7 linked regions of the Canis lupus familiaris genome follow. The main gene of each other region encodes a partner of the protein of the gene in region 7 in a complex. Links are inferred from orthologs where the notes say so. Each region holds a gene or a part of one and is shown on either strand. Other genes may lie near its edges.

Region 1 (3,500 bases), on a different chromosome or scaffold from region 7:
AGCCATTGTTTTTAATAAAGGGATATGTGTTATAGTACATTGAATCTTAAAAAAAATATTTGGTTGAAAGATTGATTTATTTTCCTTTTTTTTTTTAACTTTTTTTTTTAATTTATTTTTTATTGGTGTTCAATTTACTAACATACAGAATAACCCCCAGTGCCCGTCACCCATTCACCCCCACCCCCCGCCCTTCTCCCCTTCTACCACCCCTAGTTCGTTTCCCAGAGTTAGCAGTCTTTACGTTCTGTCTCCCTTTCTGATATTTCCCACACATTTCTTCTCCCTTCCCTTATATTCCCTTTCACTATTATTTATATTCCCCAAATGAATGAGAACATATAATGTTTGTCCTTCTCCGACTGACTTACTTACTTCACTCAGCTGATTTATTTTCCTTTGCAAATTTTATGAGCTTTTTAAAAAGTTGTTTGACTTATATTATGAATATTGTTTTTTATTGTTTTCTAATATATTTTCCTTTGACTACTAGAAAACTTTAAATGTAGAGTGGTTTATGGTTTTTTTTTTTAAGATTTTATTTATTTATTCATGAGAGACACAGAGAGAGAGGCAGAGACACAGGCAGAGGGAGAAGCAGGCTCCATGCAGGGAACCTGATGCGGGACTCGATCCTGGGACCATGGGGTCATGCCCTGAGTCGAAGACAGGTGCTAAACCCAGGGATCTCTAAATGTAGAGTAATTTGGAGGAAAAGCAAATTTTGATAAGTAGTTTTGTTCACTTAGCCTTAAAAGAGCTTTTTATTATTTTTTTCTTTTGTCTGAAATAGGTTTAACAGCATTGCGTAGTGATGAAGTGATTGATTTGATGATAAAAGAATATCCGGCCAAACATGCTGAATATTCTGTTATTTTACAAGAAAAAGAACGTCAGCGAATTACAGATCATTATAAAGAGTATTCTGTAAGTATTGAGGTGACTAGCATCTTTTATTTGGTTTGGGGAGAATGACATTTTGTAAAGTTACATGTGACTTCCAACTGTAATATTTTTATTTCAGCAAATGCAACAACAGAATACTCAGAAAGTTGAAGCCAGCAAAGTGCCTGAGTATATTAAGAAAGCTGCCAAAAAAGCAGCTGAATTTAACAGCAACTTAAACCGGGAACGTATGGAAGAAAGAAGAGCTTATTTTGACTTACAGACACACGTAGGATTGCTTAACTTTATTAGTTCCCGAACCTCACTTAATTGCTTGTCATGGTAGAGTGCTCAGTATCTCCTTTATTTTATTTAGCCATTGTGGTGTGTTTTTTTTGTTTTGTTTTTTGTATTTGTTTTTTGTACCAGCGATGTGTCCTTTCCTGCTCCAGAATTTAGGATATAATTTTTAATGATGTGCTAGTAACGCTCTGTTCACTTCTGTGTGTGTGTATATATGTGAGAGTGGTGTCTTTTGCTCTGTGGTTGACATTTCTCCTGAATGAGACTAATAGGTGTATATCATAGTGGCTGCTTGTCCAAGGGTTGTTTTAAGAAATTTTTTCAGGGATCCCTGGGTGGCGCAGCGGTTTGGCGCCTGCCTTTGGCCCAGGGCGCGATCCTGGAGACCCGGGATCGAATCCCACGTCGGGCTCCCGGTGCATGGAGCCTGCTTCTCCCTCTGCCTGTGTCTCTGCCTCTCTCTCTCTCTCTCTCTTTCTCTCTCTCTCTCTGTGTGTGTGACTATCATAAATAAATAAATAAAAAATATTAAAAAAAATTTTTTTCATATTAATTCACTTAATTCTCACAGTTGCCATGTGAGGTTGAAACTAGTATTGTTCTCATTTCATAGATGAGGACGTTGTATGTGTTGCTCAGCTCCCGCTGCTCTTGCCATTGGTGAACAGAAGCAGGCTACCTTTCCCTCAGAAGTGCTGGCTGTGGTGAAGAGCCAGATAAACTTCACCTGTGTGGCTAGAAACCTCCCCACTGTCCCCTTGGGTTTTAGTTCCTAATGTCTCCTGTGTTTTTAGCCTTTTGTGGGAAGGAGCATGGTGGAGAACAGGAGGATTGTGTTCCTAGGACCTGGATTCCCAGCATAGAATCACTTACGTATTTCTCTTCACGTCAACCCAGGTCATCCAGGTGCCTCAGGGGAAGTACAAAGTGTTACCAACTGAGAGAACCAAGGTCAGTTCTTACCCAGTGGCCCTCATCCCCGGACAGTTCCAGGAATACTACAAAAGGTATCCATTGGTTTTATTACCATCGTTATTGGGTACTGCTGGGGGACTGCAGAGTCTTGTGTACTTGCCTCCAAAGAGTTGAGCTCTGTGTGTACCACCTTGAGATGTTGTGTGAGATCTGGGCCAGTATCCTGTTTTCTGTGGTTCATCAGTGAAGAACACCCTTCAGCCACAACGTAAACATCTGCCGACAAAGCTGGAGCTGCCCATCTCCCTGCCCGCACCTGTTCGTGTGTCCGTGGCAGATGCAGGTGGACCAGTGCTTCGGTCCTTACATTGTGCTTCATGGCCCAGCAGCACCCGTGTCATTTGAAAGCTGATTGGGAGTGCAGACTCTCGGGCACAACCCCAGACCTGCCAACCGGGAAGCACTGGCTCAGTCTGCAGAGGATGTCGAGGAGGAAGCAGAATGGCTGCAGGGCGGGCTGGGCCACCTGGTTGTGCCGGCCACGTCACTGCCCTGGCCTGGCTGCTGCTTCCACTCTGTCCGGGATGGCTGCTTCTCTCTCATTCCCAACCTGGGTGTAATTGAAAATAAGGCTAACAGGGTCCTTTTGTTTGAAAACTCTCACCTTTAAGCTTTATGTTCTTGAGGATAGAGACTGGTCTTTAGAGAACAGTGTTTAAAATAGACTATAGGATCATACTATTTGAAAGTCCAATTTAAATCATGGGTTGCAGATCTTAATTTCGCTTTGGGGTCAGCAAATTATTAAAAGTGATGATTACATTTGTTAGAGTACATGCATCACAAGTTTTTAAAAAAAATTTCTTAAATAATGTCATGTACCACCCACTGCTGTGCATCATGTGTGTCGACTGATGTCATCATCACATCCACCTGTGAGGTGGACGCATCGTCCTGCAGTCCACGGGGACCCACAAGCAGTGATATGGGGTGAGGGGAGGGTGGGAGTGATCAGGAGGCATGGGTTTTGTGCACAGTCTTGAATTGCCACAGTTCTACCTTAGTCTGCTGACTTTTTTTTTCTATTTTGGGTTGAAGATAAAGGAGGGAGACTTCCTCTTTTGATAATCAAATGCATATGATATACTTTTAGCCTGGTGTAAAAAACGTTTAGGCTTCTCATTTATTTTCCTTACTTGATACAAAATGAAAACTTATTTGTTACATTTGTAGTCATTTTCCAAAAGTATTTGGGGTTAATTGAGAAGGTTAAGGCTACCTTTAAAGCTCACAAATTAGATCATTCGTATTAATTGTAAAAAGACAAGTGACAATCGTCTCTCTGATCCTCAGATACTCACCAGATGAGCTGCGGTATCTGCCATTAAACACCGCGC
Region 2 (4,092 bases), on a different chromosome or scaffold from region 7:
AAGAACTGGTGGCAATTTGGCATCTTCTCTCCCCCTTTCCACCCCTCCTCCGCTATTTTAGCTATTTGACCTGATTAAACAACTTTGGGATGTTAGCCAGATTTCTGTATGCTAACGAGGCCCCTATTCATGATTTAGTGCGATTTCATCCACCGGGAGATTCCCCGCTGCCCCGTGGAAGCCTGGCTTCACCGAAGTCTCCCAATTTCGTCGGGGGTTCGCCAGTGAGGAGTTCACGCTGACTTGGAGCAGACACAGACTCTGAACGCCTCGGGTCCTACCGGATTATTCAGTGGCAAATTTTTCCACCGTGTACCTAAGTAGTGAAAGGTGACGCCAGAATCGCGTGTGCTACTCCCCGAAAGAGACTCTGGCAACACCTTCTGTCTAGTTACTCTCTTTCCTAGTAGCAGAAAGCGTTTCCAAAAAGTTTCCTTAAACCTCCTCTGTCCCCAAGCCTAAAGGTCAGAGCGCCAGGTCCCACTTGGCTCCCCGGCCGGCCGGAATCTGACCATTTCAGAAGTTTCTGGTGTGTGTGTAGATTGGAAGAGGTCGGAGTGGGGAACCGCGCACAGCGACCACCGCGCATTACGTAACGAAAGCCCTGGCTGCCGGAGGGAGCGAGCCTGACATTGAGACATTCCAGGGGGAGGGGAGTTGCTGTCCTGGAGTCGCCGGGAACGGCGGCAGCAGTTCCAAGAAACCGAGAGAGAGAGAGAGAGAGAGAGAGAGAGAGAGAGAGAGAGAGAGAAGGTGGCCGAGATAAAGAAAACACTACAGGAATGAGAATGTTAAAAAGCCTTGGACCTAGAGCATTAGCAAACTGCTGGGCACGTGTAGTAATTTGTTAGACGAAACGGCAGCCTTCCAACTTTTGCACGGGAACGAGGGGATTTGCCCTTTGGGGGATTAAAAACGTAACAGCAAAGCCAAAAGCTAATGAATGGGGTTCAGTGGTTTGTTGGCAATACTTAAATATTTCTGTCCAGGAGCGCAAACTCTCTGCAATTATTTAGAAAGTAGGGACTCAAACCAAACTAGAATACTTTCCCCGTGCGTCTCCACTTTCCCAAATCCGAAAAGGAGCTGCTCTCGCGGTACTGCCCCTTTAAGACCTGCTTGCTCTCGGGCTCTACAAAAGGGAGTGACCTCTGGGCTTTGACAGCTCCCCTAATAACTACCACCGTGCAGGCCCCGCCCATCTGGCGACCAGCAGCGCCCATTGGCCAGCGGGCCGGTATCCCGTGCTCTGATTGGCTCGCCGCTTCCCCTGAGCGAACCTTTAGAACTCTGAGACAGACAATATTCTGTTACATTGTAGCAAAATGGCGACTGTCATTCACAACCCCCTGAAAGCGTAAGTAAGACTAAAAAATGTACATATTCCGCCTGGTTTCAATATGAAAAAAAAGGCGCCTTCCGCGTGCCAAGCGCTGCCAATGCACTGCGCTTGCAGGCGCCTGCAGCCGCGGCGGGGCTTCTCTTTTCTTTCAGCTCTTACTTCTTCATCTTCTTTTTTTTTTTACCCCCAACGCGCAGAAATGTCAAGAGATGCAATTAACAAGAAGAAAATTGTTACGTTTGTGTTCTGCTTAATTGGAAGACGCACGGAGAGGGGTTTTCGGCAGGGGAGCCAGGCGCTCGAGCGCTCTACGGGGGGGGGGGGGGGGGGGAGGCGGGCGGTCGTGGGCAGCTCGGGGACTGCACGGTCCCCCGAGTGCCCGGCGTCGCGGGATGGCGAGCGCGGCGCGGGGGGCGGCCGAGCTGGGGGCGAGCGCCGGGCAGGGGCCGCCTGGGTGCACTTGGCTGCGCCCCGCGCCTCCGGAGTCCGCAGCCCCTGCCCGGCTGCTGGGTCCGCCGGGGCGAGCGGACCGTGGCAGCTCCGGAGTTTGCAGGGCGCTTTACGCCTTCCGATCGCTCGCGGGGAGTTTGTGCAAACCTTCCGGAGTTGGGAGGACCGCAGGGGGAGCAGTGGGTCCCGGGAGCCCTGGGGCCCAGGTGATTGCCCGGGGGCTTTCCTGCCGGGGCAGCCCCCCGAGCGTGACCGCGCTCCGGGCGGTCGCCGGTGTGTCTGCGTGTGTTCGCGGGCGAACTGGGTGTAGTGTATTAACGACTCGGGTTAACTTGGGGTTGATTGGGAGGCAGGGAGGCTGCAGGTCTTATGAATGGTGTTCTTGCCTCCTCTGGGTGAAAAACCGAGGCGGGCGGAGAGGCAGCTTCTGCTCCCGGCCAGAGCGAGGGGCAGGTGCCTCTGGCCGCCGCCGGGAGACTTTGAGCGGACGCCCAGATCCCGGACGCAGGGGGGCGGGCTGGGCGAGGACATGCGGGGACCAGTCCCCGGGTCCGACTGCCAATTCCTGCCTGCCTGCCTTCCTGCTCCTTTTCGTCCTGGCTTCCTTCCTTCCTTCCTTCCAGTCGATGGAAATGTTAAGCCGCCAAGTCCGATCGCGATCGCGGAGCCGCTGGAGGCTTCGGAAAACTAGCGTCGCCCTACAAGGGGTGCTATTGGCAATGATATTGGCAGAGGAGAGCTCGCTCCCCCATCGCCGCGCGACGTGGGTCGGGACTCCCGGTCGCCGCGCGGCGTGGCTCGGGGTCCGCGCCTCTGGGACCAGGACTTCCCAGCCGGGGTGGGAGCCGCGGGCGAGGGGAGGGGGAGATGCAGGTGGGGGGCGTTTCGTGCAAAATTCTCCTGGCTGTGTGGCCGATGCCCGTGCGGGTTATTTCAACTCAGCGCACCGCGCTGGCACCCCAGGCTCCTCCTGGAGTTGAAAACCACGTTCGCACCGGGGGAGGGAGGGAGGCTGCGGGGGGTGTGGGGGTGTTTCCTAGCGCAAAGGAACGCGCGAGGGTAATCGGACGTGTTTGCACCAGCTTATCTCCCATCATTAATAGGGGAAAAGGTAGTAAGGTCCCCGGTTCGGAGTTTTTTTTTTTTTTTTTAATATACATGTATTAAAGCTGCGATTAAAGCTGCGATTAAGAGGAAGCTGGAAGCTGACGCCGATCACAGAACAGCCCCCGGCTTTAGTTCTCGCTCGCAAGCTCGGATACACTGCACTGGAACGCCACAACGTTTCAGCCAAGAAAGAAAATGTTTTACAGCAGAATAAATGGGCGTAACTTCGCCGCATCCTCGCTCCCCGGTCGCTCGCGCAGCCACACCGCTGATGCTGTGAGTTTCAGCCGAACCTCCAGCTGATTTGCAGTTTCCCCATTTCCAGCCGAAATCACATAGGCAGGCTGATGCCACCTGGTAAACTCAAGTTAGAGAAATCTATTTCACATGTGCGCCAGATTTGTTTCCTACTGGGAAAGCGGTACCAGCGTTACCTTGGAGCCCGCTCACGCGCCGGCAGGCGCAATATCTCTAAACGCTCCAGGGTTTGTTTCCCTGCCGGCTCCGGTTTTTTGTTTGTTTGTTTGTTTTTGAACTGCGGAAGGGTGCGTGTTTGGCGAGGGTGTCTGAGTGGGGTGGGGTTAGAGGTGGAGGAGGGAACAGAGAAGGGGGCTGGTTTAGTGGAATTAGTCCTGAATTATTAAACTTATACTTTGTAATAATTAGAGACAGTTGCAATGACATGTTTTGTAATTCTGTGTCGACACACACACACACACACACACACACACACACACACATACACACGCGCGCGCGCGCACGCGCTAGCATACACACAACATCCCTGCCTGCCTTTTCTAGACGGGAGTTGAGTGGTCATTTTTTAATTAGCTCCTCCTTTTTGCATCCCAAACCCTTTCCCTGGAGGAAAGGGGGTGTAAACAATACCCACCCCCTCTCCCGGACGAGCCGAACCTCCTGCGCTCCGGACGGCTTTTAAACTCCTAATGCAGGAGCACACACGTTGTTATTGGGAGACCCACACCATCTGCCTTTATTTTTTGAAAACAACTTATTTAGCAAGACATCTTCTACATTTCATTTGTTTTTAAAAGTTGCTGATCAGGAAACAATACACACGTAAATAAATTATGCATGGGATAAATTAGAACAAAGCGCAGAGACACATCCAGCTAAAGGGATGGATGGTGGTGTAGGGAGGAGGGGAGCCGCGAGAATGGTTTGGAGAGCTA
Region 3 (4,074 bases), about 24 Mb from region 7:
CCTTGGATACACCCGGAGACAATCAGAAAGGGACATTAAACCATCAGCTCAACCTAGATCCACATGAGGAAGACGCAGCCAGACCCTGCCATACACCTGGACACACACGAGAGCGAGACAGACATACCTAGAGGGAATCACTCAGATGGATACACAAGGGGGAGGGACACAGTCCCTCTGAGGCAAACAGACACACCCAGAAAGACACAGATGGACACATAGTGTCCAGATGGACACTTCAATACACCTGGACCCACACAGACCCTTGGATACACCCGGACAGGAGAAGAGAAAGAGCCAGCGACTGTGACACTACTGGTCACAGTCAAAAGGTCATAAAGCCCAACACTCTGGCCAGACGAGCACACGTGGGCAGAAATATACGTAATACTCCAGCCACGAAGGGCTTCTCCCAGACATCCCAAAGCATCTGGACACTCAAAGGAAGAGACACCCAGACGCCCTGATACACCCAGACACACTCAGGATACCCTGCTAGACCAGACACACACAAGACTAAATAGCCCCTCTAGTACTCTTGAAAACACCTAGAAAGAGACACAGACACTTTGATATGCTCCCCTACGGATGGAAAGACACCCGGACACATCCAGACACACATAGGAGGCACCCATAGGAAGAAAGCCAGCGGGACCCTGATCCATCCCAGCTCGCCAGGGAAGGTACACCCAGGCACACACGAAACAGATACCACTCTGCCCACGAATACACCTGGGCCGGAGGAGAAGATACAGCCCAAGTCCAAAGCCCAGTCACTCGGGGGGAACTGGAGAACGTCTGGACTACACCAGACGCACACCTGCAGACAAGCGCTGGGAGGGAAATAAAGGCAAATGCTCAGACCTGCAAGGGCCTCACCACACACGCATGAGCGGGTGCTGGGGGCACTGATGGGGTCCCCCCCAGGCCCAGGATGAAGCTCCACCCACCGATCTTGTACTCGCAGGGCCGCAGTCTGGGGTCCTCCAGGATGTTGAGTCTCCGTTTCTTTCTCCAACAGCGCGCCGGGTACGTGTAGATCTGTCCGGGGGCCAAACCTGGAGTGAGAAGCGCGAGGGGCCGTGAGAACAAGGGGAAGGCGGCCCGCAAAGCCGCCGCCCCGCCCCGCCCCCACCCTCCGGGCCGGTACCAGGGCCGCGGTGGGTCTTTTCCATCCAGATGTAGCAGTTGTTCTGGGCCACGCCGGTCTGCGAGTCGAGGAAGGGCAGGCGCAGGCTGCGCTCGGCGCACAGGCGCGCGTTGTAGCTGCGGCAGTGCTCAATGGCCTCGCGGTAGAAGTCCTCGCCTAGGCTGCGAGGGGGCGAGCGAGCGGGCGAGTGGCTGTCAGCAAGGGCGCGAGCGCCAGGTGGCCCAGCAGCCCCCCTCGGCGCGCCCCTCGGGAGTGGGTGGGCCTACTCTCCCAACCTCCCCTCTCCCCCCTGTGCCTCCGGGACTCAGGCGCCCCCAGCCCAGGGCCCAAGCAGGCCTGGAGCCAACAGGCAGATAGATACACACCATACAGAGACGGACAAAAATACACCAGGACCCATCCCTACAGGCACGCGTCAAAATACTCAACACAACCAAACCACACAGGATTCACACACAAAGAGAGACATATCCCAAAACTCACAAAGGAGAAACAGACAAACCTCACATATGTGCACACACAAATATCTACTGAGAAAATACAAACATCGCCGTCCCATAGTGTAGAAACAGACACATCCCACATATATCCATGCACGAATACACCTCACATATCCAAAGACACACAACATAAACAAAGCACCCGCACAAAGACACACAATGTGCAGAGATCACACACACAGCACTACACACACATACACGCATCCAAAGACACACAGTGATACACAAATATTATGAGAAGAATGTTAAACTACCCACACATGCACTTATATACCCAAAGACACAACACAAACAAATTACACACACACACTCACACACACACTATCCAGACAAACTATACAAAGAAATCACACAGATTCACACAGGACACACACACAATCACAAAGATACACAACATAGAAACCAACATCTAAAATACCGCATATCCACACAAAGATACAACACAGAAACAGACAAATCCACCCATATTCACACAAAACTGTACAAATACATGCATGCCTACAAATCCAGACACAGAACACAAGCGATGCACAGTTCCAAAGGACATGTACGCACACTCAAAGACCCAAATATCCAAAGATACCTAGTGTAGACTAAAATAAATTAAACACATATCCACACACATATCAAAAACAAACAAACAAGTGACACGCACTCCACATGCCAAGACAAAGGTAGTGTGGACTTCACTCAAGTTTCCCAAGCCTCCCGCACCCCCAGACCGTTTCAGTCTCTCCCCAACCCCGGGGGTCGCCGGGCGGGACGTGACCCCCCTTCCCCCGAAGAGGACCCGAACAGGACTCCGAGTCCCCCACACCCTCCGCTCCTCCAGGAGCAGCGCATCGGACCCCGTTCTTGCCAGGGACCCACGATCACACACATCCGCACCCCCGCGCAGCACGGCCCACGGTGACAGCCCCCCAGACACCCCATCGGCCCCACCCCCGGCCGCCACACACGCACACACACACGCGCGCGCCCGCGCAGACCCGCCCGCGCGCCCTCTCCCGCCTCCCGCCGGCCCGCGGCACCTCAGGGGGCCGGGGATGACCGTGGCCATCTTGCTCCCCGGGTCCTGCCCCCAGCAGGTCCCCGCCGGGTCGGTCCTCCCAGCGCTCGGGCGGGCGCTGAGGCCGCCCATCCATTCATTCCCGCGGGGCGGGAGCACCGGGGCCACAGCCAATCAGGACGGCAGGGCGGGCCCGCCCGGGCCATGCTGGGAGTGGTAGTCCGGGCCGGGGGCCGGGCGGGACCCCGCGGGGCAGGGGGCAGGGGGCAGGGGGCAGGGGGCAGGGGGCAGGGGCGCGGCCCCGGGAGCGCGCGCGGTCACTCACGCGGCCACTCACGCGCGCCCGCTCCCACGCGCCCTAGCGTCCCGGGCACACGCTCCCACGGGCACACCTGGGCTCGCACACACCCACCTACGGCAGTTTACACACACATTCACACGTATACTCACAGCCTCCCACGCAGACTCACGCACACTTCCCTCCCACGCCTTCACAGACTCACATACATTTACACTCACACGAACACTCCGAAGCCATGAGACTTAGAGATACCCTGGAGGGGCCCGCACGGGCGTCCCACCCGCGCCTGCGCTCGCCTCACCGACACCTCTCCCTCCCGCATCCCCAGGCCCTCCCGGCTCCCAGCGCCCGGCCTGTCCGGTCCCCGGGCTGTCCCCGGCACGGTGACCCCGCGCGGGCGAGCCCGTCCTGCCGCAGGCCGGTCGCCAGTAAGGAGCTGTAGCCGCACCTGGCGGGTTCGAATCCCGCCTCTGCAACTCGGTGGCCATGTGGCCTTGGGCAAATGACTTAACTTTCCTGGGCCTGTTTCCTCACCTGTAAGATGAGGATGACACCTCATTGGATTGTTGTAAGGATTAAATGAGTAAATAGAGTGTTTTTAGTTTTAGTTTTTCCACATCCAGCAGGGAGCCCACCACGGGGCTTAAACTCACCACGGAGAAATCAAGACCTGAATTGAGATTGATTCGGAGGCCTAACCCATTGAGCCACCCAGGTGCCCCCCCATATAGTGTTTTTAAAAGGTACCCGGGGTGGGCAGGGGGGAGATGCCAGCGTGGCGAAGCAGTTGAACGTCTGCCTTTGGCCCAGGGCGTGATCCCGGGATCCAAGATTGAGTCCCACATCCAGCTCCTTGCAGGGAGCCTGCTTCTCCCTCGGCCCCTCTGTCTCTCTCTGTGTGTCTCTCATGCATAAATAAATAAAATCTTTAAAAATAGATGAATAAAATAAAAGGCACCTGGCAGGTAGTAGGTTCAGTAAATCCACTCCATCAAGGAGATCGGATATGAAGTCAGGTGTAAAATGGTGCTAGCCAACCACTACCAGAAAGAATAATGCCTGGCCCATAATAGATGCTCAATAAGTATTTGTTGAATGAGTAAATAAAAATATA
Region 4 (4,101 bases), on a different chromosome or scaffold from region 7:
GTGGGAAAAATACAGGCGTAGAGTAGTTGAAAGCTCTGCTGTTCTGTCCCTTCCTTCCTATCTTAATGAGAAACAAGTGAGGTAGAGGGCCCGTCGTGCCGCCTCCCCCAGGCACTCCTCCTAGGCCAGAGGCCTACCCCTTCCCAGGCCTTCTCTACCCAGCTGTCTCTTGGTTTCCAACCCCAGAACAGGACTTTGGCAGGTCACCTGTACATTGGCCTGGTGCTGGAGAGTGAAGCTATGGGATTTTCGGGAACTCTTGGTTCCTAGAAATTCCTTGGAGATCAGACCTCTCCAAAGGGAAGCAAGGCCAAGGGGTGTGCACCGGATGGGGAACAGCAGGCAGGGCTATGGGTGACGCATGCCTCTGGTCTAATAAACTGGGTTTCAACCATCTCTTTGGTGTCGTTCTTCTCTTCGAGAGTATTTAGGTCTCCCACGAAGTGCCTCCAGCTGAGCTTAGCTTGGGGCCAAACAATCGTGCAGAAGTCAGGAGGCTCAAGCAAGGAGACCCTCCCTGGTCCTCCTGGGATGGGGCCCGACTGACCATCGCAGTAGGAAATGGTTTCCACTACTGGGCAGGGAAAGGGGGAGAGAGGTCAAAGGCAAGAGAAGTCCTAAAGAGAAGTCCTGGCACAAAGGATTCTTCGGGGGAGGGGGCAGGGTTAAAATCCAAACTAAAATCCGGAAGCAGGTTGGGTTTTTTAAGGTCAGGGAGAGAGTTGGGTTCAAATTCTGGTGTGAGGTAGCTACGGAGGCATTGTGTCTGCAGAATGAGCCCTGGGCCGTGAGCCAGAAGACCTGGGCTCTGAGCTCTGGCGTTCCTGCTAACTTGCTGGTTGGTCTTTGCCAACTCACTCACTAAGGTCGGCTTTCCGGTTTGTAAAATGGAATAAGCGGTGCATTCTCCTCTTCGGCTCCCCAGGCTTACGGCAGTAGGAAGGAAACGAAAAGACAAAGCGCTTTGGAAAGTTAGACCTCCTGAGCCTGCACGCGCAGGTTCCCCATCCCGACGCGGTCCTCAGAGCCCGGGGCCTCGGCGTCCTCCCGTCGGCCTGGGGGCGCCCGCTCACGCGGCCTCTCTATCCCGCAGTTCTTCTCGATGGCCTCCGCTCCCGGACCGCGAAGACGGGAGGGAGTGGTCAGCACGCCTTTTCTGCTGGCCACCCCCCCTCTAGCCCGCAGTCTCGCTGCCCCGAGCCTCCCGCGCCGGCCGGCCGGCCGGGCGGACAGGCGGGCGCGCGGGGGGCGCGCGGGGGGCGGGGGGAGTTCCGGTTCCGGTTCTTTGTGCAGCTGCAGCAGCGGCTCCGGGGAAGATGGCGGCCCGGGCGGGCTTCCAGTCTGTGGCTCCGAGCGGCGGCGCCGGAGCCTCCGGAGGGGCGGGCGCGGCCGCTGCCCTGGGTCCGGGCGGGACTCCGGGGCCTCCCGTGCGGATGGGCCCGGCGCCGGGTCAAGGGCTGTACCGCTCCCCGATGCCCGGAGCGGCCTATCCGGTGAGCGGGGCAGGAGGAGGGGCGCGCGGGCCGGGGGCGGGGCCGAGCGGGGGCCTGGGAGTGACAGGGGTGGCGGAGAAGTGGGAGGGCCTCCGGCGGGAGGGCTTCGGGCCCGGAGTCGGGGTGAGGGGAGGCGGTTAGCATCCCCACCTGCCCCCGGGAGCATTGTTCCCGCTGGGGAGTCGGGGTGCGGACACCGCGCGGATGAAGCGGGGCGAGCGGGGGCACGTGAGAACTGGAGGGGGCAGAGCGCCGGGCAGCTCCGGTGCCCGGGGGAGCGCGGGTGTAGCTAGCAAACGGAGGCCGGCTTCCGCGGGGAGGAGAGCTGGCGGTACCAGCCGAGCAGAAGTGGGACTCGGGGAGGACCCCGAGTGTCGGATACCAGAGAGGCTGGGGAGCGTTTGGGTGTCGTCGGGCTCTCGCTTAGCCTTGGGGCTGTAGCCCCTGGAGGACAGGAAGCTCCAGTTGTTCGGGTTTCAGAGACAGAGGGGCGCCCCCCCCCCACTGCGCCCCCCCCCCCCGCCGCCCCCAGCCTCGTTCATTCAGCGGACTCCGGCACCTCCCACTTGTCGGTGGGGTTAGTGGGGAAGCCATGACATCTCTGGGTCCTCTCCTCTCCGTAGAGACCAGGCATGCTGCCAGGCAGCCGAATGACACCTCAGGGACCTTCCATGGGACCCCCTGGCTATGGGGGGAACCCTTCAGTCCGACCTGGCCTGGCCCAGTCAGGGATGGACCAGTCCCGCAAGAGACCTGCACCTCAGCAGATACAGCAGGTCCAGCAGCAGGCGGTCCAAAATCGAAACCACAAGTAAGCTGACCCTGGGGCGAGGGAGTGAGGGAGGGAGGGAAGGAAGGAGGGGGGAAGCCAGCCCTTGAGGACACAGGTGATGGGAGAGCCTGAACCCAGAGGTGGTGATGCTGCGTCAGCAGATGGGTGCTCATTCTTCAGAATGCTTCAGCATGCATGGGTAGGGGGTGGGGGTGGGCGTGGGCAGAGTGCCTTGGATTTGAGAGGCGCTTTGCAGTCCCTTCATTTTCCTATAAATGGAGGTGCTGACCAGTCTGTCTTCATGTTCTGGCTAGTTCCATCCCAACCTGATAACAGTATTTATTCCAAACAGTGCAAAGAAAAAGAAGATGGCTGACAAAATTCTACCTCAAAGGGTGAGTCCAGGGTCTTCCTGAGGAGGTGCTGCGTTTGAAAATAGGAGCGGTCAGCTCTAGACCCCAGTGATACCTTTTTTTGTTCCTAAGATTCGTGAACTGGTACCAGAATCCCAGGCCTATATGGATCTCTTGGCTTTTGAAAGGAAGCTGGACCAGACTATCATGAGGAAACGGCTAGATATCCAGGAGGCCTTGAAACGTCCCATTAAGGTAATGCAGGAGAGTGCTAGGCAGAGAGCCAAAGGAGAGGACTCGGGAACCTTCAGTAGGCTTAGGATGAGAAATCAAAGGCACAGCACAGCTCTCCTTGGCATTTAAATTACGTCTCCCTTCCGCCTACGAACCTAGGAACTGAGAATTACATTAGAATCCAACAGCCAGGGGGGAGGGGCCCTTGCTGTCTCTTGCACCAGAAATCTGCCCTGTCCCTGTTGTGGCCATAACTGTTCTGGCACCTTGGGAACCCGGCATCTTGCATGACTCTTGTCAGTTTGGCATCCTAGTGTATGTACTTGCACTCGGGCCAGTATTCTTCTAGATGGAATCTCTGTCCACCCACCCCAGGGACTGGATAGATAGTAAGCCAGTCTGTTAGGAGTAATTTGCGGGTTTGGGGGAGATTCTTGTCTTCAGTATCAAACCACTGAAGCCCCATCATCAATCCTGTTTCTGCCTTCCTCAGCAAAAACGGAAGCTGCGAATTTTCATTTCTAACACTTTCAACCCGGCTAAGTCAGATGCCGAGGATGGGGAAGGGACGGTGGCTTCCTGGGAGCTTCGGGTAGAAGGACGGCTCCTGGAGGATGTGAGTTCAAAGCCCACTGTGGTTGCCGTCTAGGGCGGGAGCTGCTGGGAGCAAGCGGTGTTGTCTTGTTGGCAGGAATCCTGACTGGTGCTCACAGCTCCTGTTGAGAACAGCAGGGAGAGGATCACTGTGTTCCCTGCACTAAAAGACAATGGTTCTTTGTGTCTCGCTCCCACAGCCTGGCCCTCGCTGTGGTATCATATCGAGAACCTTATTGTTCCAGGACTTGATTTGTTGTTTACCTTCCTCCTGATGGTGCTGGCCATTGGACTTAGCATCTGCAGGTTATTCAGCTTTTGGGTTTTGTTTCTTTAAAATCAAGTGAGTTTGCACTTAGCACTGGAAGACCTACTTTTCTCTCTGAGTCCTGGAGGTCCTCGATTCCCACTGTAGTATCTCCACCTTCGCAACTTTCGTTGGAGACTTCTCACAGTGGCAGTGGGATAGTTTTCTGTGCTTCATGGGGAACATCAGCTGACAGGTGGCAGCCCCCAAAACTTCCTACCCCAGAAGTTCACCTTTCATTCCCTTACATTCTCTATTTTTAGCTTTTCATAAGCAAGCTAATTTGGATGCATTTTTGCAGGAGAACTGGGGCTCTGTGTCAGAGCTTCCTTCTCTATATAGGTCCAG
Region 5 (4,072 bases), on a different chromosome or scaffold from region 7:
TCCTTCTCTCTGGGCCCCTGCTTTCCACCCTTCAGTCTCAACCCACACCCCCCTCAGCTGATTCCAGGTCACCACACCCAGGGGCACCCCCCCCCCCCATAATTTACTCCCAAGGTGAAGGCTGGAGGCCACAGGAGCCAGTGAGGTCACACCCCACCAGGAGTCCCTGACAGGATGGGAGGCAGCTGGGCTGGAGGTGGGCTGCCCAGAGGGCTTGCAGAGCTCAAAGGCTGCGAGTGAGTGAGCGAGTGAGTGGCATTTCCTCTTCCATCCATCTCTCCCTTCCTGTCCGCCTGCATTGCCAGAGATGGTTCCATCCTACAGAACTCTTCCACTTCCCACCCCGCCCCAGTGAGGTAGGAAGCCAGGGCTCTGAGGGGGACATGGAGAGCAAGAGGAGGCAGGTGTATTCCCTTGCCACCTCAGATGGGATGGAGATGAAATGCAAATTCACTAAGTGTTTCACAGACTTTGAAAACCCCACTTGTCCAGATTCCAGAAGAGGAATCCGGGAAGGCCCAATGGGCTGAAAAGTGGAGGGTGGGTGTGATGGGGACAAAGAGAGCAGGAAGATTCGGGAACAAGGGATGCAGCCCCTGTGCCCTGCCACCTTTTAAACACTACCTGCTTTGCCCTCAGGCACAAGGAGGAGCCCTGAGCCTGAGCCCGGTGAATTCCTTCTAAATGCCAACTCTCCCTCCTGTCCCTCTGGCCCTGCACTTTGTCTAACCCTAACTCCCAGCCAGCCAGCTGTCTCTGTCTATCTCTCCCACAGTGAAAACTGCCCATCCGTGTGTCTGCCTCCCCCACCGCACCTGACCCTATCACTCATATCTCCAGAGTGGTGGCCCAGAATGGAGCCTAGGCCCAGGCCCACCAGCACAGATGGGGTACTGGGAGTGGAGTGGTGGGACTCACAGCCACCCAAGAACTGAAGCTGTAAGTTGGCAAAAAAAAAAAAAAAAAAAAAAAAAAAAAAAAACAGAAAAAACCCCACCAACAACAAAAAAACAAAACCCAAACACCACCAAAAAACCCCCACACATATAGCCCCCTCTCTCTCCTAGATGGGCCTTTTTAAAGGGACTTCACCAGCAGCATGGTTAGGACCGGCAACTTGGCTGACCGACATGGTCCTCCCTGGGAAGTTGCCTCAGAGATCTCTGGGACAGGAGAACAGGCTGCCCCAGGGAAAGCCCCTTTACCCAATCAGCTGCTCTCCCATTCCTCAAGGCCAGTGATAACTTGCTGATCTGCTGAAGAGACCCCGAGAGAGAAGCTTCCAGAGCCCCCAGAGAGCTGTGCCAACCAAGGGGACTACCCCAAAGAAGGGCCAAGATTCTAGGGACTTTGGTTTCCCTCATTGAGAACGTGCCTTCTTTGGGGTCACAACCAAATTTGGCCATAGTCAACTTGACTGCCTCCTCTGCACCCAGCTCCAACCCCAGTGGCCATTCCAAGCCCAACAATCTCTGCCTCTCCCATTCCGCTGCCTTCCACATCTCTACCAGCCTGGCTCCTGCTGCCTCAGCCTGAGGTCCCATCCCCTCAGGTCACCCTGGGCTCCCTTGGGCTCCCTGTGTGCCTTCCAAGTCCGCTCCTGGCAGGAAGGTGCCGCCCTGCCCCTTCGGTCTCTAGGCCTTACATCCCTGACTCCAGCCCTTCCTTCACACCTTTGAGGATTTAAAGACATCGGCTTCTGGGGGCTGAGTCTGCCAAGGGGATCTTCAGACCCCTTCACTTGGGGTCTGTCCCTGGAGAGGGTCTTTCTCTGACCCGGATGGCAGAAGCCATCAGCAAAGCCCCAGAGCCCTCCTGCCAGGATGCAGAGGTTGTTGGGGCAGAGAGCTTCCCGCTCACAGTGCCTCCAGGGTCACCTGCTCCTTCCTCTTGCTCAGAGAGACACAATCAGAGAGACACTGTCCCAATGGATGAGCAGACAACCCAGCCCACCCGCTGCCGTGTCCCCTGCCCCCACCCCCAGGGCAGGGGAACACCTGGGCCCACGAGGAAAAGAATAGAAGACAACACGTCTAGTACAGAGGGGAACCCCCCCACACTTGGGGCGGCAGTCCCCAAGTCCCACCCCCAGCCCCTGACAAGAACCCATGCAAAGCTTCCGTCCCCGCCCGGGGCACCCATCCCCGGCCCGCCGCCTGCCGCCTGACGACGTGTTCGAGTGCCAGGGCGCCGGCACAGTGCTGGGGCTGGGCCGCGGGCCGCGGCGCCCCTGCCAGAGGGGTGGGAGAGCGGGAGCCCCCTCCCGGCCCCTCCCGATCATCCCTCCATTCAGCCCGAGCCAGCTCGCTCACCCTCCCCCGCTAACTTTCCCCCACTCACCACCCCATGGACCAGAAACTCAAAAAGTTTGCTTTTCGTGGCTTTGCGCGCCCCTCCGGCAACTTCGTCCGCGGCCATCGGGGTGGGCTCAGCGGCTCCTCTCACTCTCTCTCTCTCTTCCTCTTTCTTTCCCTTTTCTGCCTTTTTTTTTCCTCCAACTCTCCCCTCTGAGTCCTGCTGGGCTCTCTCACACTTCTACTCGAGCGGAGTGGGGAGGGGGCCCCTTCAGGGCTGCCCTGACGGCCCACGGCCCACGCCGCCGCCGCCCGCCCGCCGCCGCCGCCGCCGCCGCCGCGGCTGCCGCATTCCTGTACTGATAAGACAGAAATAGTCCGGCGGCCCGGGGTCTGCCTGTTGACTCGGCGGGGCCCGAAACGCCTGCCTTTGCAGCCCTCGCTGTCCAAACAGCGCAGATAAGCGGCGAGGCACGCCGGCGAGCCCGGCTCCGGGGCGCTGGGCAGCGGCACTGCAGCCCGAGGCCGCCCGAGGGCCGCGGGGAGGCGGCGCGGGGAGGGGACGCGAGGGGAGGCGGCGGGGGGCTCGTCGGCCACCCGGGCTCTCGCCACAAATAGTTTCTCGGTTAGGGAATTCGCCGGCAGGGCCAGGCAGGGAACAGGCAGTTCCAACTGTCCCCCAAGTGGGCTCCTGCTGCATTTCTGAGGCCCTTTCCCCAGAGACCTGGCAGGCCAAGTAGGGAAACATTCTCTGGAAGGAAGGAATCCGGGGGGGGGGGGGGGGGGGGTTGGGGGGGTTGGGGGGAGGCCTTCCTCCTGCACCAGGCCGACAGCGGTGGGTGTGCCCGGGGAGGCGCTGTCCCCTCGCGTCCACAGATGTGTGCGCCCTTGTCTCGCCCGCCGTGTGTGTCTGCACCCTGGTGTGGGCATGGCTCGGTGGCTGTGGGTGTGGATGTTTATGTGCGTGCACAGACAAATGCCTTCTCTGTGTGCCTCCCTCCACGAGAGCCTCGGGTGCGTGCGCGCGCTTGCGGGTGCGTGTGTGGCAGGACACGGCCTGTGTCTTCCAGCTCCGTGTGAGTCTATTTCTGGGTATGTGAGTCTTTGTTTGTCTCTATGTGAGAAAGTGAGGGCAAGAGGGGAAGTATTTCGGAAAGGGGAGGTGGATCGGACTCATGAGAACAGGAAGAGCAGCGAATGTGAGGGAAGGCGAGGAGCTGGGGTGGGTGCTTGCGTGGATGGATGGAGAGAATGGGGCATGAGGTGGGGGGTGGGGGGACCCAGAGGTGATGGGGCTGCTGGGTATAGGGGAGGGCGGGCCGCAAGACCCCCAGAGAAAGCAGGGGTAAGTGTGGGATTGGCTGAGGGAGCCCCAGAAGAGGCAGTGTTCAGAGAGCTGGCAGTCCCTGGGGTGAAGGAGGGACAAATCCTGAGATCCCCAGCCTGGGAACCATAGCACCACCCAGGCCCCCAATGGCCACACCCCTCTCTCCTCCTTCTGGAGGAAGAGCCCCAAGGCTTTGGGACCACAGTGGGTCAAGTTTGTGTGCTTCCTGGGGCTGCCCTGTCAGAATCCAGGTGAGGTGGGGCAATGCCTGGGGGAATTTGTTGGAAAAGTTATTTGAAGTTATACCCTAAAGACCCAGAATTACACTGAGGGGTGGGGGGGAGGTGTCCTGAACCTCAAACCCTTCAGAATGCCCTCAGAGGTCAGACAAAACCCAGGGAATGTTCTGCCTACAGTCCTTTTGCCTGCAGCCTGGTTTCCTTGGGCTCTA
Region 6 (3,500 bases), on a different chromosome or scaffold from region 7:
CCTAAAAGTATGGAGGCCGCTGGACACTCAGCATTCCCATTATGCCCCTGGCAACCCTCTGCTTCTCCCACACCCCGGGAAAGTGGGAACTAATGATGCCATGGGAATGGACTGTTAAGGGCCCCAAGACCTAGAAAGGGTCAGAGTTTTGAGTTCTGAACAACAGCTAAAACTAGACTAAGGTGGGAAAACCCTAGGCAGTAGAAAGTTCTGGGTAGAAGGAACTTTAGAAGCGCAAATCCGAATCCCATAGAGAGGTAGAGAGGGCCTCTCTAAACTGGCTCCACCTTGCCCGTGGTCTCCATGCTTTCATCCTCCTGTTCATCTGAAAGAGAGAGTGAGCAAATCAGGAGTGGAGCCTCCAGAGCAGCAGCAAGAGTCCTGCCCTCTGAAAAGCCGTGGCAGGCTAGGGGAAGCGGGCCGCAGAGCCTCCTCTCCTTACCCAGGTCAGTCATGGTGCCTCCTTTGACCGGGGCAGACTCTGAATCCTTCTTAGTGTTGACTGCCAGGAGAGAGAGTCATTTTATCAGACAGGGTCTGCCCGAATCAACTCTTTAACTCTCCACCTTTAACAATTCTAAGAGATCTCTGATCACAAAAAGGGTTCGGTAACTCCCTCCAGGCACAGTCATTCTGGGGCTTGAAACTCAACTGCCACTTTCCCTCCTTCCCCTGCCAAACGGTCACTTAACTCTTCCTATACAGAAGCATCTTCCACTCTACGGACACTCATCAAGCATTCCTGTCTCTAACAGGCCCCTCTTATCTCCATCTGTGTGTCTGTGAACTCTTAATGGATTGAGACAGAGTCTGACCAAATCACTCTGGAGAGGACTGGTTGGATCGCCAACATTTTTGAAAGCAAGGGGGCTTCTCTTAACCGAATCCGTACACAACAGCTCAGGAGAAAACACGAATATGGAAGAGAGCCGCCGTGATTGATGAAGGGGGTTGAGGCCAGCACTCCTCTCTCTCAGTAGCCCCCACCGCAACCCCTGAAATACACTCCTTGACATCGGAGCTCGTCTATGGAATACAGATCGCAGTCCACCTTTGCAGCTATACAACTCTCTATCATTGCAAAGCAATGGTCTCCAAAGTGGGGTTCTCACACAGGACGGCAAGAGATGGTCCAGTGGAATACAGGTAGAGAATAACAGAACTTCTCTTTATATTTGTTTTTTTCAGTTTATCCTTTACATTTTCCCATTTTTTAGATAATGTTTGCATGTGTCTCACGATGTTCCTAAAGCAACGGTACAGCAGCACATATATAACTCATGCTCAAGGGGCACCCAGGTGGCTCAGTGGTTGAGCATCTGCCTTCGGCTCTGGTCATGATCCCGGGGTCCTGGGATCGAGTCCCACATCGGGCTCCCTTTGTGGAGCCTGCTTCTCCCTCTGCCTGTGTCTCTACCTCTCTCTCTCTGTGTCTCTCATGAATAAGTAAATAAAACCTTTAAAAATAATAATAATAATAATCTGTGATCAAATACTTTACTGAAGGGGGTAAGTGATCAAAAACAGTTCAGAAACAACTACTGTCAGGTACAAGCACAGTACACAACTCAGATGTGGCTCAAGTCAGAGGACTGCCCATGTTGAGAATAATTTTAATAAACAGCTAAATTGAAGGGCCAGATCCTCAAGACCCGGAGCTCGGCCTGGGAAATCAGCCCTCTAGGAAGGTAGGTCCCCGAAGCTTGGTGTGGCCCGTACCTGTCTTAGGTAACGTCACCTCCTCTACATTGGGGACTGGTGAAGGCTCATCCATGTCCTTTGTCAGGTCTTCTTGCTCCTCCTCTCTGTGCCCACGCTTTGACTTGGTGTAAGGTGTTGAGGGACTGGGGAGGAAAGGGGAGGAAAGGTAATGAAAGCTAACCTGGTCACCCTTAAGCAAGGAGTCCCTGGAAGCTGAGGTTCAAGGGGAGTAAAGCAAGAGAGAATCCCCAAGGGGGAGCTAAGCATGCATAGACATGCATCACTACAGAGGACAGGGAAGTGCAAAGGTCTTCCCTTGAAGATGTCACTCTGAGGTCACTAGTGGCTGCAACTAGAACTAACAAGTGGGCAGCTAAAGAAGACCTCACCCTCCCTCTCAGGACACCTACAGGAGCAGGGCCGACCCCAGTCAGGGCCAGGTAGTCACAGGAAGGAGTCTATCCTTCCTTCCTTCAACATGGAGAGAATGGTGAAGGTGGGGCAGGGTAGCGGCTGGCATACCCTTTCTTGGCATTTTTCTTCTTAGCTTCTGGGGTTGGTGAAGGAGAGGGGGAGCGCTTCCTCTTTTTATAGTTGCCCCCCTTCTTGTCCCGTCGATCTGAATCTGGGCTGTTCACCTGCAGGTTGGAGAATTGGAGTGAATGTCAGCCAACAATCCCCACTGAAGACTTATCCCCATGCTTGTGCTAAGGGATCAGGGAAGAAAGAAGAGGAAGTTTCACCTCATCCGTCAGAGTCTTGGCTGAAATCTTCTTTCGGCGGGAGACAGGGCTTTTATCATCATTTACTTCATAGTCTTCCTCATTCATCCATTCATTGAAAGTGTCTGTGTCCAGAATCCACTTTGCATGAACCTGAAGTACAAAAGGCAGACTGTGCTGGAGAGAAGCCTGAAAGCCACAGCTGTCTGTGGGTCCCCCCTTTATAAGATCTTGTTTATTTATCTGAGAGAGCAATTGCGAGTGTAAGAGAGAGCACAAGTGGGAGGGAGGAGCAGGCTCCCCGCTAAGCAGGGAGCCTGATGCCAGGCTCAATCCCAGCACCCTGGGATCATGAACTGAGCTGAAAGCAGACATCCAATCAACTGAGCCACCCAGGTGCCCCTGTCTGGGGGCCCTTAAGAGAAGAGCTGAAGGAGACAAGAGCCTGTGCTTGACCTCCAAGGAGTGGTCTGGTCCCAGTATACATCTTTTTTTTTTTTTTTTTAAGATTTTATTTTATTATTATTTTTTAACTATAAAGTTTTTTTTTTAAGATTTATTTATTTATTTGTTTATTTATGAGGGGGGGGGGCAGAGACACAGGAGGAGGGAGAAGCAGAGAGAGGCAGAGACACAGGAGGAGGGAAAAGCAGGCTCCACACCAGGAGCCCAACGTGGGACTTGATCCCGGGACTCCAGGATCGTGCCCTGGGCCAAAGGCAGGCACCAAACCGCTGAGCCACCCAAGGATCCCCCAACTATAAAGTTTTGATGTAAACTCTAAACTTCTTGAAGAAACTTTATTTATTTATTAGAAAGGGCAGAGAGCCAGTATGAGCAGGGGGTAGGGGCAGAAGGAGAAGGAGAGGGAGAAGCAGGCTCCCTACTGAGCAGGGAGCCCCACAGGTGGCTGGGTCCCAGGATACAGAGATCATGACCTGAGCCAAAGGCAGACACTTAACTGACTGAGCCACTCAGGCACCCCTAAAAAGATTTTATTTTTAAGTAACATCTACACACAACACAGGGCTCAAATTTACAACCCCACGATCAACAGTTGCATGCTCTACCAACTGA
Region 7 (3,500 bases):
CGTGTCTCCGCAACCAATACTCCTTCTATTGATGGCATACCATGATGGCTCTACCGGATGTAGAGCTCGTGCTGCCTCTGCTCATAGCAAGAATAGAAGAGCAGATTTTCTGCTTCTCCACTTGAAGCAGAAGTTAATGACTGATCTTCCAAGATGGCGACAGTCGGTACTCATAGCTGAGATGCTCTGGCTTCATGCCTTTGCTTCTATTGTTATACGGTTAGGGCTTGGCTCAGCTCAGTGTTCTTTTTTTTCTTCTTAATTTGAATGAGTTGCTAACATTTAAAAGTTGGAATACTTCACATAACAATCTGAACATTCAGCTTCTCTTAAAAAAAAATAAGGCCTGGCAACCTGGAGTCTCTCAGTTCAGACATATGCCTTACCTGCCAGGTCCTTACCTGCCAGGTCTAGGATCACTGTTTTAAGATGTCTAAAATGAAAGCATATACTCACTGGCAGTGAAGACCACGCTAAAATATCATTCCTCTGTTTTTGCCAGAACTTTGGAATTAAACACAATCTCATTTCCTAGCATGACTACCACTTGAAAAATAAAGAATGGCCATATGACATAATCTTCCCTCCTAAGTCTACATGCAGGCCCCTTCCTCTCTCATAACTCACCCTTCAGCCCTCTTCAAGGTCACTGGTCTCAGATTCTTTAAGTGAGAACAATGAGGAATGTCCCACTAAGCCTATTCATTCCCTACAAAACAGTGGCAATGGCCAAGAAAAGCATCTGGTGCTCAGATGTCCCCGGATCCTGCTCCAAAGCTCCCAGAGAGAAAGAGAGAGAGACTAGCAGAGTATTCTAGATGGTCCCTGCCTTTCTCACTACAAGTGACAGTGAAATCGGGGGAAAAGAAATATAAAATCTTCAGTTGGGCTGAGATGTTTGGGCAAAAGAAACTACCATAGCGTTGTTGTTGGGTTTTGTTTTGTTTTACTCTTCCTCCACCATTTCTAAGAAAAGTGTTCATAAGCATGAAGTTGTATGGACAATTATCCCAAGCTTACCAATAGCATAGAAGGGGCCAGCAGATAAAAATGTATTTAAGCAAACAGTCTACATCTACTTTCCTAATTCAGCTTACGATCTAATAAAGAAGGAATCAGAGAGGACTTCGATTCTGCTAATTTACTCTTTTGCCAATTGGGTCTTCCGCTTGGACAAAATATCACTACCCCTTTCTATAGCTTCATTTCTCTAGCAACACATAAAAGCAATTCATCTCACTACCAGGCATCTCCGATGAGTTCTGAAATACATATGCAGAAGATGTGATAGGATTTTTTTAAAGGATCTCGAATGTACAAACACATTCCCGTAGTAATATCGAAAAACATGTCATTTTCAACACTGCCAGATTCATCTCTGAGTATGAGGAGCAGGAACACAGCATTGTTGCCAGTGCCATCTCAATTATTAAACCTCTCCTGGGAGCACACTTCCTATATGTTATCTCCTGTGATGCCATGAAGGGAACTCTCAGTTCCCTGAGCAAAGGTTTAATGCAGAGAGAGAACAGATCCCTGAAACAGCTATTCTGTTCAGTTCTGGCCATCACTTCGTTTCAGATTATGGCACTTCCAGAACACCACGGGGCAAAAGAAATTACTGGAGGAAGAAAAATGAAGTATCTGTGTCTGGCCCCACCAAAGAAGGTATTCTGAATGAATGCATTAGGGGGCAAGGTGATAAACATGAAAAAAAAAATTTTCTATTTGCTGGCCAAAGGACAACTTAAGAACGTACAAATTAGGAGACATGTATGTTGCAGGTAGAAAACAACTTTTTCTCAGCTTCAAGTGAATAGTCACAGAAACAGCCTGGAGTAATCCAAACAATGGCCCATTATTTTACCAGGGAAAAAACCTAAGACAGGAATAGCACCAAAGCTGCAGCCTGGACAAATGTTCACATGGAGAAGACCATATGGAGAGGTGCCTACTCATCGTTGGAGAGACAAAGGCACAAGAGGAATGAAGTCATGCTGCTGACAATAACCCAGGGCTACAAAAACAATTATTTCTTCCACAAGCACGTTCAGGGCCGTTGGAGAGAAAAAGAGCTGCAGAAGGAGCCCAGGTGAATTTTTTTAAGAGACATAAACTCAGTAACTGTGAGAGGCTAGGTTAGAGAACCAGAATCAATGACATATGCAAAAAAAAAAAAATAATAAAAACAAAAACAAAAAAACCACACACACACACACACAAAGAAAAACCAAAAAAAAATATATATATATATCTGACTCTGCAAGAGATAGAAAATAGAGAGAGAGAGAGAGAGAGGCCATCTAATGATCAAATTATACCAGTGAGTATAATTTGGGGAATACTTTATACTCCAGTGCAATGGTCCCATAATTAGAGGTAAAAGATTTTTTTTTTAAACCTACCTTTGCAAGAATGTGCTTGTCTTTGATAATGTACTCATAAGTAGTCAAGAGGACGTTGAATTTCCCACTCCGCAGCTGGGGTACAAGGGAGCGACGCATTGCAGGGGTGCCCTGAATGCAAAAAAGTGTATATATATATATGTAGGCATATACATTACCCAAAGGAAGTAATGTGTACATTTTGCTTCACTATTCATGGCTTAATGGAGCCCAGACACACGACTGAGGATTGCACATCTACGCATTATCATACACAGATCCATTATCCACGACAAAGTGCTTGGCAAAATCGCACACATCTGGATGCTTTTCAGGCCCTTTACAGGCAGGCTTTCCCACTGAAAACTGAGGGTGAGGGGACAGCCGGAGAAGGAAATTACAGCAACCTCGAGGTAGCAGAGAACCCGCTGCTCGGCTGAAAGGCTCCGTTTCTACGGGAGCGTGCAGCAGGCAGCCCGGGTGCCCGGGTAATTGCCGAACTTTGCAGGAACAGCGGGCATGGCACGGCGCGAGGGATGTGCGATATTTGTCATTTGTATTACTCTCATCAGAAACCTCGCAATATGATAATTAACAATTTTCTTCTGCATTTCACTATCTGAAAGTAATTATGGTTTATTACAGTAATCTTCTTGGGATGATTAACTCACAGTGTTTGGTACATGATGTACATGACAAAACTTTACAACCAAATACAGTTCACAGATGTGCATATGGGAGGAAGAAAAAAAATTGGGTCTATTTTTTGCTTTTCCACATTTATATATAAATAAAGCATTCCAAACCTTGTAAGAAATCTTCACCACAGAAGGAGCCCATTTGTCAAATTCATATGTCCAGTTAGATAGAGTCCTATAGAACAAAAAAGAAAACATACAGAGAAAAAGACATTGGCATAAAAATCAGTGGTTAAAAAGATGTTCTTATTTATGCTCAGGCCTCACCTGGAAAGGGGCAAGAGAATATTAAGTATTTCAACTACATACTTCTTTGAAAGGTGTGGAAATAAGAGATAAGTGGGGAATAAGCTGCCCCCAAAGCATGACAAGTTGTGTGTGTGAGTTCATAAGAAATCTCATAAGAAAAAAATAAAAT

The links.
Region 1: SMARCA2 (region 7) and PHF10 share a complex: the UniProt entries of both Homo sapiens proteins name them as parts of the neural progenitors-specific chromatin remodeling complex. The link is inferred for Canis lupus familiaris from reciprocal best matches to the Homo sapiens genes SMARCA2 and PHF10.
Region 2: SMARCA2 (region 7) and DPF3 share a complex: the UniProt entries of both Homo sapiens proteins name them as parts of the BAF complex. The link is inferred for Canis lupus familiaris from reciprocal best matches to the Homo sapiens genes SMARCA2 and DPF3.
Region 3: SMARCA2 (region 7) and DPF1 share a complex: the UniProt entries of both Homo sapiens proteins name them as parts of the neuron-specific chromatin remodeling complex. The link is inferred for Canis lupus familiaris from reciprocal best matches to the Homo sapiens genes SMARCA2 and DPF1.
Region 4: SMARCA2 (region 7) and SMARCD1 share a complex: the UniProt entries of both Homo sapiens proteins name them as parts of the BAF complex. The link is inferred for Canis lupus familiaris from reciprocal best matches to the Homo sapiens genes SMARCA2 and SMARCD1.
Region 5: SMARCA2 (region 7) and SMARCD3 share a complex: the UniProt entries of both Homo sapiens proteins name them as parts of the BAF complex. The link is inferred for Canis lupus familiaris from reciprocal best matches to the Homo sapiens genes SMARCA2 and SMARCD3.
Region 6: SMARCA2 (region 7) and SMARCC2 share a complex: the UniProt entries of both Homo sapiens proteins name them as parts of the BAF complex. The link is inferred for Canis lupus familiaris from reciprocal best matches to the Homo sapiens genes SMARCA2 and SMARCC2.

Annotation. Positions count from the first base shown.
Region 1 is NC_049233.1:72,430,497-72,433,996, reverse strand, and holds part of PHF10 (PHD finger protein 10), read left to right. Parts: intron 1-793; coding exon 794-927; intron 928-1,024; coding exon 1,025-1,174; intron 1,175-2,085; coding exon 2,086-2,195; intron 2,196-3,456; coding exon 3,457-3,500. UniProt on the Homo sapiens protein: Involved in transcription activity regulation by chromatin remodeling. Belongs to the neural progenitors-specific chromatin remodeling complex (npBAF complex) and is required for the proliferation of neural progenitors.
Region 2 is NC_049229.1:46,575,316-46,579,407, reverse strand, and holds the start of DPF3 (zinc finger protein DPF3), read left to right. Parts: upstream 1-1,292; 5' UTR 1,293-1,325; coding exon 1,326-1,357; intron 1,358-4,092. UniProt on the Homo sapiens protein: Belongs to the neuron-specific chromatin remodeling complex (nBAF complex).
Region 3 is NC_049222.1:115,598,750-115,602,823, reverse strand, and holds the start of DPF1 (zinc finger protein neuro-d4), read right to left. Parts: upstream 2,801-4,074; 5' UTR 2,792-2,800; coding exon 2,682-2,791; intron 1,312-2,681; coding exon 1,151-1,311; intron 1,059-1,150; coding exon 951-1,058; intron 1-950. UniProt on the Homo sapiens protein: May have an important role in developing neurons by participating in regulation of cell survival, possibly as a neurospecific transcription factor. Belongs to the neuron-specific chromatin remodeling complex (nBAF complex).
Region 4 is NC_049248.1:42,013,975-42,018,075, forward strand, and holds the start of SMARCD1 (SWI/SNF-related matrix-associated actin-dependent regulator of chromatin subfamily D member 1), read left to right. Parts: upstream 1-1,301; 5' UTR 1,302-1,316; coding exon 1,317-1,493; intron 1,494-1,596; exon of another isoform or gene 1,597-1,697; coding exon of another isoform or gene 1,698-1,721; intron 1,722-2,116; coding exon 2,117-2,304; intron 2,305-2,617; coding exon 2,618-2,660; intron 2,661-2,750; coding exon 2,751-2,873; intron 2,874-3,345; coding exon 3,346-3,468; intron 3,469-4,101. UniProt on the Homo sapiens protein: Involved in transcriptional activation and repression of select genes by chromatin remodeling (alteration of DNA-nucleosome topology).
Region 5 is NC_049237.1:16,013,155-16,017,226, forward strand, and holds the start of SMARCD3 (SWI/SNF-related matrix-associated actin-dependent regulator of chromatin subfamily D member 3), read right to left. Parts: upstream 2,801-4,072; 5' UTR 2,419-2,800; coding exon 2,341-2,418; intron 1-2,340. UniProt on the Homo sapiens protein: Involved in transcriptional activation and repression of select genes by chromatin remodeling (alteration of DNA-nucleosome topology).
Region 6 is NC_049231.1:846,729-850,228, forward strand, and holds part of SMARCC2 (SWI/SNF complex subunit SMARCC2), read right to left. Parts: intron 2,577-3,500; coding exon 2,445-2,576; intron 2,340-2,444; coding exon 2,224-2,339; intron 1,845-2,223; coding exon 1,720-1,844; intron 503-1,719; coding exon 443-502; intron 326-442; coding exon 288-325; intron 2-287; coding exon 1-1. UniProt on the Homo sapiens protein: Involved in transcriptional activation and repression of select genes by chromatin remodeling (alteration of DNA-nucleosome topology).
Region 7 is NC_049222.1:91,456,483-91,459,982, reverse strand, and holds part of SMARCA2 (probable global transcription activator SNF2L2), read right to left. Parts: intron 3,258-3,500; coding exon 3,191-3,257; intron 2,517-3,190; coding exon 2,406-2,516; intron 1-2,405. UniProt on the Homo sapiens protein: ATPase involved in transcriptional activation and repression of select genes by chromatin remodeling (alteration of DNA-nucleosome topology).